Styela clava: one gene and its partner. The protein of the gene in region 1 binds, or shares a complex with, the protein of each later gene. Links are inferred from orthologs where the notes say so. Each region holds a gene or a part of one and is shown in the gene's direction. Other genes may lie near its edges.

What was found. The genes of interacting proteins can lie anywhere in the genome.
Region 2: H/ACA ribonucleoprotein complex subunit 2-like protein (region 1) and H/ACA ribonucleoprotein complex subunit DKC1-like share a complex: the UniProt entries of both Drosophila melanogaster proteins name them as parts of the box H/ACA small nucleolar ribonucleoprotein (H/ACA snoRNP) complex. The link is inferred for Styela clava from reciprocal best matches to the Drosophila melanogaster genes NHP2 and Nop60B.

The regions. Positions count from the first base shown.
Region 1 is NC_135251.1:15,281,543-15,285,302, forward strand, and holds the start of H/ACA ribonucleoprotein complex subunit 2-like protein, read left to right. Parts: upstream 1-1,036; 5' UTR 1,037-1,051; coding exon 1,052-1,071; intron 1,072-3,760. UniProt on the Drosophila melanogaster protein: Component of the box H/ACA small nucleolar ribonucleoprotein (H/ACA snoRNP) complex, which catalyzes pseudouridylation of rRNA. This involves the isomerization of uridine such that the ribose is subsequently attached to C5, instead of the normal N1.
Region 2 is NC_135256.1:12,639,710-12,643,469, reverse strand, and holds the start of H/ACA ribonucleoprotein complex subunit DKC1-like, read left to right. Parts: upstream 1-746; 5' UTR 747-799; coding exon 800-905; intron 906-1,448; coding exon 1,449-1,489; intron 1,490-1,856; coding exon 1,857-2,038; intron 2,039-2,837; coding exon 2,838-3,022; intron 3,023-3,411; coding exon 3,412-3,476; intron 3,477-3,760. UniProt on the Drosophila melanogaster protein: Catalytic subunit of the box H/ACA small nucleolar ribonucleoprotein (H/ACA snoRNP) complex, which catalyzes pseudouridylation of rRNA. This involves the isomerization of uridine such that the ribose is subsequently attached to C5, instead of the normal N1.

The DNA.
Region 1 (3,760 bases):
TATTGTTAAAATCTTTGATATATTTTCACTACAATAAATTACAGATTCGTTACATTACACACATATAAATTTCCGAAAATTGTGATGTCGCTGATTTGAAAATAACTAACATACACCGGTATCGGTACATTACTATACTCACCTGAGAATTTCAAAATAACAAAATAGTATAGTCATCAAAGGTAAGACTACGGCTGCCAGAATGAGGGCAATCGAATATGATAATGAAGCCATGTCATGCCAAGCACAAATCAACGATTTTGCATCATATCTAGAAGTAAATGTTAGTGTGTAGGTATATATATGTCAGAAAAGGGCATGATCTTTTATATTTTAGACAATAGTAAGTCTAAGTTCCCTATGGTAAGGGTGACCAGAAAGCAAAAGCAACTTCAAAATGTATAAATATGCAACCTGATGCATTTATTTCTAGCTTTCTCAAATGTGTATTCTTAAAATAGCGCAGAGGACACTAAGAGAAATTAAATATTGGAGAAAAATTCCTGATTAAAATTCGTTTGTGTAAATGTGACTCAATGCGAGAATTTGGTCAAACCGTAAATAATTGAAATCTTTGATACATTTTTTCGGGTTCATTATAAAATGTACTTACGTGATTTCTCCCCATCCAGCCAATGTTGGCATTGTGATTAGGCATGACCAAATCCATGACATTATTGCCATAAAGATTCCGACATTTTTAGTGAAGTATTTTCGATAAGAAACTAGTTTTACTATCGCCCAGTATCTGAACAAATAATACATATGTTTAGATTGTTTACTAGTATTGATTTCATGGTGCGAAGAAACGACCCTAAATAAAAGTTTAAATGTTTATTTCTGCATCTAAGATTAACTATTTGAATAAAACTACTTTAGTATTTAAACGACTCTAATTATGTACTTTAAATAAGTCTATCAATCATACCATTTGGGAAATATGAAGCCTCGATTGGACTTAATTGAACTATGGTTAAAGGCCGAATGCCTGATTTTTTGGAAACTTGAAATATACACCAAAACCTTCTAGTGGGAAGGAAGAGACAAAAGAATGTTTGGTATGTCTATGAGGTGAGAACAACCTTATCGTCTGTTTTTGCTTTGTTAGACGATTACTCAAATAACTTTTTTTCTTACAAAAAAAATTAAAAACCATACCTATTGAATGCAATCAGAGCCATATTAGCCAAAGAAGAAACACAAGTAATGGTGACTATGAATCCAATTATCTGACAAAATATTCCATCAACGATTCTTTCGCTTCTTATTATTGATGCTGCTATGCAAGGTAAGGTCACGGAACACACCTACCAGTAGAAGTCAATGTGAATGAAGCGTAAGATTTGCTCTGAAAGCAAATACTGTAAGATTCGTTGGCGCGATATAAATATATATATCGATATTTTCGCATATTAATCTAAATTCTAGTCTAGGAATAAAATTCACAAAGGCCAGTTCGTGTTTTTCAACAAACTGACTCTTCTACAAATACCGTTATTCATATGAATTTATTCTTGCCCTGAATGTAGTTAATTTTTTGTACTCTTTATTAGTGGTATATCAACCAATAACAAAGAAAATTGCAAGAACATTTTATATTCTTTGTAAGACTCAAGTTAGGATTATCTCACCAATACATCAGCCACTGCCAAATTAATGATAAAGATATTCCCAGATGAATGCACTTTCTTCTCTAGCACGATTGAAAATATAACGATCAAATTACCGATTGTTCCGAGAAGTATTATTGACATGATGTAAATAAACTCGAAGTACTGTGAAACGAAAAAAAAATTCTGAATATTACAAAAATTAATGAAAATAGAAATATTTTGCGCTTTGCATTGGTTTTAATATTTAAAATACTTGCCTGCAAAGTTCCAAAATTTGGCCAGTAATTCGTGTCGTGATGTTGTGGGGAAACTGTAGAATTTTCATCTTCCATCTCGAATATTATTTAAGCTCTTGATGCGTCAATTTTCAGCTATGATAAAAACTAGTTCATCCGCGATCCTTTCTCTGCCAGCATGTACTTTTTACAAATACAAATAAAATACCACCACATGTTCAGGCGGATCAGCTAAAGCTGACTGCCCGAATGTGCCATATATCAACTCGCAAATTCCGACAAATAATAATTGATGGTAAACCACTCTAACGGTTCGAGGAAATGATGAATTGTTTGATCTTAGTAAATACCACACGTTAATGGTCAGGCTGTGAAACAACTGTAAAATAGACAAAAAAATGTGTAGAATAGAACGTAAAATTAACACTCTTCTGTTGCCATTTTGATTGAATTGTATTATAGCAAACAAATATACTAAAGGTGTATTGTGCTCGTTTACAACTGGTTGTGCGTTCTAGTGTAATTAGATTAGAGTATGTGATATAATCGTATATCTATTTCTTTTTATTAATGCTAAACCCAATTGAACTAGCAGGATGAACTTCTTTACAGTGCACGTAAGAAAAGATGAAATGTAGGCAATACTTATACGGTCAATAAGCATACAAGGTATATAATAATCATATACCAGTTAACAGAAAAATGTCTTATTCGTCATGATAACCTATTAAAAATCTATTAAGGTTGAGCGAAAAAGTAGTTATTCACATTTTTTCCCCTTGCTTGAAGGAAATTTTTCGGAAATACTACAAATGTTTCGAATTTGAGACATACTTGAATTTGAGACATACTTTTGAAATTTAACCCCAACTTTCCGTGCTCGATTATAAATCATGCGTAAAAACGGTAAGAACAAAAAAAAAGCACTTTGATATTTAAATGCCAAACTGAATCCGGGTAATAAAACGACGTTGTTTACTAGTATCAAACATTTGGTAAATTCACCAATAATTTCTCTACAATGAAAAGATTTTTCTCAAAGCCATATTTGCAAACGCCAATTAGATCAAGATTTTTATCTGTCCCAAACTCTATATTCGAACATAAAAATTTTAACCAATTATTTTGTTGTATATCGCAAATGTTTATGATATGTCTAACAGTATTTTCCAAGGACACAATATGTTGCCTTCCTGACACGACATCATTAGTTGACGTAGGAAGCGCGTAACTACGAATGTAAATCATGTTTGCTAAGCATAGAACACAATATGGCAAGTATGTTGTTTAGAAATAACATCATAGCATAAAACAAACTTTTGTCCGTTTGAATTAATAATCTGTGTATGATAAATTTCACATAATGATACAGATACCACGACGTTTTCTACATATTTGTCTTGCAATAAAGCAAATTCGAACATGTGAAGTGCTTTAATTCAGTATTCTCTTTTGTTATATACCAGACATAAGGAGAAGCTTCAGCATAACAGTTTTCTCATTCACTCAAACTTCAAACAAACTAAATTCATCATGATTGCAGACAAACATAGCATACTAGTTTCATGCTTAAATGTTACGTCAAATTTTTCTTGCCTAAAACGTCAACGATATTTCACCCAAACCTTGTTTTTTCTCATGAGTACACCTTCATGTAATAACATTCGATGCATTCGGCAAGGAAGTTTGCTGTAGCCATTTGACTTTCATGCTGACAAAATTATACTTGAACAAGCTTTCTTGATCCCATATAAATTTACTACGCGGTAAAATTGTATGCGCGTTTATTGAAATACTCATGCACAATTTGGACACTAGTTTTTAATATACATTTTACTGTAATTCCGTGTTTTGTGGGACAGTTCGTTTCAGTTATGTGCCTTATCTTCACACATAAGCTTCAAAAAACAC
Region 2 (3,760 bases), on another chromosome or scaffold:
TGGCTGATAAATTAAACAATATATGATAGATCGCACTATTCAAGCGAGAATCTCTGAAAACTTGTGAATATTATTAGAGTTGCGCTTGCTGTTAATATGATTAATTTTTTTCATACCTTTTTGACTGGATGTCATGAGTCTAGCAAACAGCGCGGGAAACTAATGTTGATCGGGGGCTGTGGCCTGTGGGCCCTTTCCATCTTCTCCCAAATTTATACTGTATTTTATATTAATATGCACTTTATATCTCATTTTTATCTCAAAAATCGATCGTGCGCCCAATATATGTATCAGGTAGTCAAGTGCTTTATTCCCCAGGCTTACACCCAAAACCGGTATAGCTTCAATAGCCGGTGTGTCTTGCAGCGCGATGCGACCTATTTACGCGCGCCTTATCATAGTTAACTGAATACGGCCTTATGGTCTGTAAAATATGGTGCTAGGATTCGTTTTTATATAGTTAGTCGTTGGTGGAAACACACGACTGCGGGATATACCAGGTCGCCTAGGCGTGCTTAGTGTTTTTTATTGTATTTCATATATTGTTCGACGTTTTACTCATGTTCTGTTGGACTTTTTTGGGTACCCCTGCTGGATAACCATATTTTGGTTTCCCGTTCCCCCCTCACCCTGGAATGCTATTTTTTATATATAATTTGTGAGTGTGCATATTCAGCATGGTGAAAAAATAAATTGCTGATTGCTGATTATTTCTTTACTCAAAACCTGCTCAAAAACCTCGAGACTTGCCGCCGAGGTCGACCACGCGTGACACGGCGCATGCGCCTTGGTGTAAAACATGTGCACACGACAATTTTGCACGTGGAAAATATTTCATTGCGGCGATCGACGTCTGACTGTTTTCGTAGATTTAGTCATGTCTTCAACAGATGTCTCGCAGAATGGTAAGTTCATATATAATAATTACATGTCTATCATTTACTAGCTTTTACTTTTTTTATTGAGTGAGATTAACTGCCCTGAGATATTGAAACCAACTGTATGCCTGTATCTAATGTCTGTATGCTGGTTTGTCAAACCACACACAGTTTATCCAAACTCAATTCGTATTTCTCTGTTTCATAGACTAGTCTTAAAGCTTTCCAGCATTGGCTGATTGGGCATGAATGTAATATAATAAATTACCATAACTCACAAATTTTATTATGTTATTGGCGGATTGGGGACGGATTTGAATCCCAATAGTCTATTGCGGTATTGAATCACAGGAATCAGAAATATTGCAGCCCCTGAATTCTGGAATTTATACAAAATTTGTTTGGCATGCAGCTAGTACAGTAACAGACAGACAGAGTAATGAATGAACCTGCTATTGTTATTGGGCTTATGACCTTAAATGAAGAGTTGTTGAATCTATGAATAGCCATTTTCAGATTTTTGTTTTTTTCATCCTACCTGTTATTCTCATTTGCAATTATCAATTTTAGGTTCCACAAAGAAAAAGAAAAAGATGAAGCACTCAATTGGAGTATGAACTTGATTTGTTGCTATGAATCTTATTTTAATATTTCAACCTGACACCGGTTCCAATAAAACCAGACTGAATCAGCAACATCCAGCACCTGGTGCACCGCACCATGCAACTTTTTTGAAGCCTATTAACAGAAAATTTTACCTAATTTTACTAGTTCATTTTGCATTATGACAAACTGAATCGATGCATGATAAAATATAGTAAATTTAATCTATTTTCTTGAAGGCATTTTTCATGTTGTATTTAATGAATTCTAAAATTATAGCTACCTTTTTTTCAGTCATATTATATGTTGAATATATTCATGATCAGCGAAAAGTCAAATATTTTGGTGGAAATAACTAAGTTCATTATATTTCAGGAATTGCAACAGAGTGGTGATTTTTTTGTCAAATCAGAAGAGAAACCTCCACCTAAATTAGACACATCCCAGTGGCCACTGCTTTTGAAAAATTATGATAAATTGAATGTGCGAACAAATCATTACACACCTCTGCCTTCTGGTTGCTCACCATTGAAAAGAGATATTCAAGAATATGTTAGGTCTGAATTCTTATACACTCTCTATTACTGTCAGCATTTATTTGAAATATTTTTTGTTTGCATTTGCAGTATTGCATAGAACCTAATTTGCTAATACAGTGGATTAATAAACTTAGGTAGTGTTTGCCTTTATCATAAGTTGAATGTGAATATAAATCATATTTCTGATTTCCTAAAACAAAATTCTGACAAATGATGATAAAATATTGATGACTGATTATTATTGATGAGTCAATAATCACTCTAATTTTTTCCTGATGTCAGTCTTTCTGAAACTTGTTTATTTACTTATTCTTATCATTTATCTTTACCAATATTGCGACCCCTAATTGTTACGTCTTCCTAAGATAAATTTTATGTCAGGAACATATTTGAAAAATGTATGAAACCTAGGTTTTGTAAACTTTTTATACATGAAAAGGGGCTCCTGAAGTATGCGAACCAAGATGGCGGACATCGGAATGTAATATGTGTACTAGGTTAGGGTTAGGCCATAATGTTAGGTATAAATACTACGGGAGGCTCTTGGCTAGTCTTCGAACTGATAATAGGACTAGAATAAGGAAAATTGGAAAAAAATTATCGCCTAACCCTAACCTGTTACCCATGTTACGTTCCGATGTCCGCCATCTTGGTTCGCATACTTCGGGAGCACCCATGAAAAAGTATTGGGAGCTTGATTCTACTGCTTATATTTTAATTAATTTTCTGAAATTGGTCAAAAAAACGAATTTCATCACCGGCACACAGTTGATGCTGTGTATAATAGAATACCTTTCAACAATAAAATTCTTTGCAGAACCGGTTTTATAAATCTTGACAAACCAGCCAATCCATCTTCACATGAGGTTGTGGCTTGGATACGAAGAATATTAAGAGTAGAGAAAACAGGACACAGTGGAACGTTGGATCCAAAAGTAACCGGTTGTCTAATTGTTTGTATAGAAAGAGCGACAAGGCTTGTTAAATCTCAACAGTCTGCAGGTTAGTTTTTTTGCCAGACACATTTTAACAAATTGTCATTTTTTATAAGTTTGATAGGCAATGCGAATCAGGCAAAACTCTGGAGCTTCAAGAAATAATAGAGCTTTACCCAGATGTTACTGCTCGTTCAGAGCTTTGCTTGTAGAGTGAATTTAAAAAACGTATAAAAAATGATAAAAAGGGTTGTTTGTGGTGAAAATAAAGCGATTTATACAACTTCTTTCTTTAACCGGCATATGATGACACAACTCGTGTCTGATATTCAGTGATGTTTCAATGTATTCACTCTAATTTTTTACTGATGTCGGTTTTAAAATGATTAATCAAAAAGAAGGCCACGCCAGTGTTTTACTTGATTGACAGAAATATTTTCTGTGTTTTTTTACCAGGTAAAGAATATGTCTGTATTGTAAGACTTCACAATGCAATAGAAAATGAAGTAAAACTCACAAGGGTGAGTATTTGGGATTCATAGCAAGGGGAAATATTAATAAAAATAGAGCATGTAAAAGGAAATATTTCTCACATTGATATGCAAATAGATAAATTGATTTGTCACTGAATTTACCAACGTACTGTCTACTGTGGCATCTATATGTATTTGGCCATCAGTATATTTTCTTTAAAAATTTTTGGTACAAGGGTACAATATATTTCATACTTATTCATACATGCGACTCAAAAGTAATTTTATTCCCATTCGTATTTAGCTTAATTCTGATGCCCATCGAGTTATAC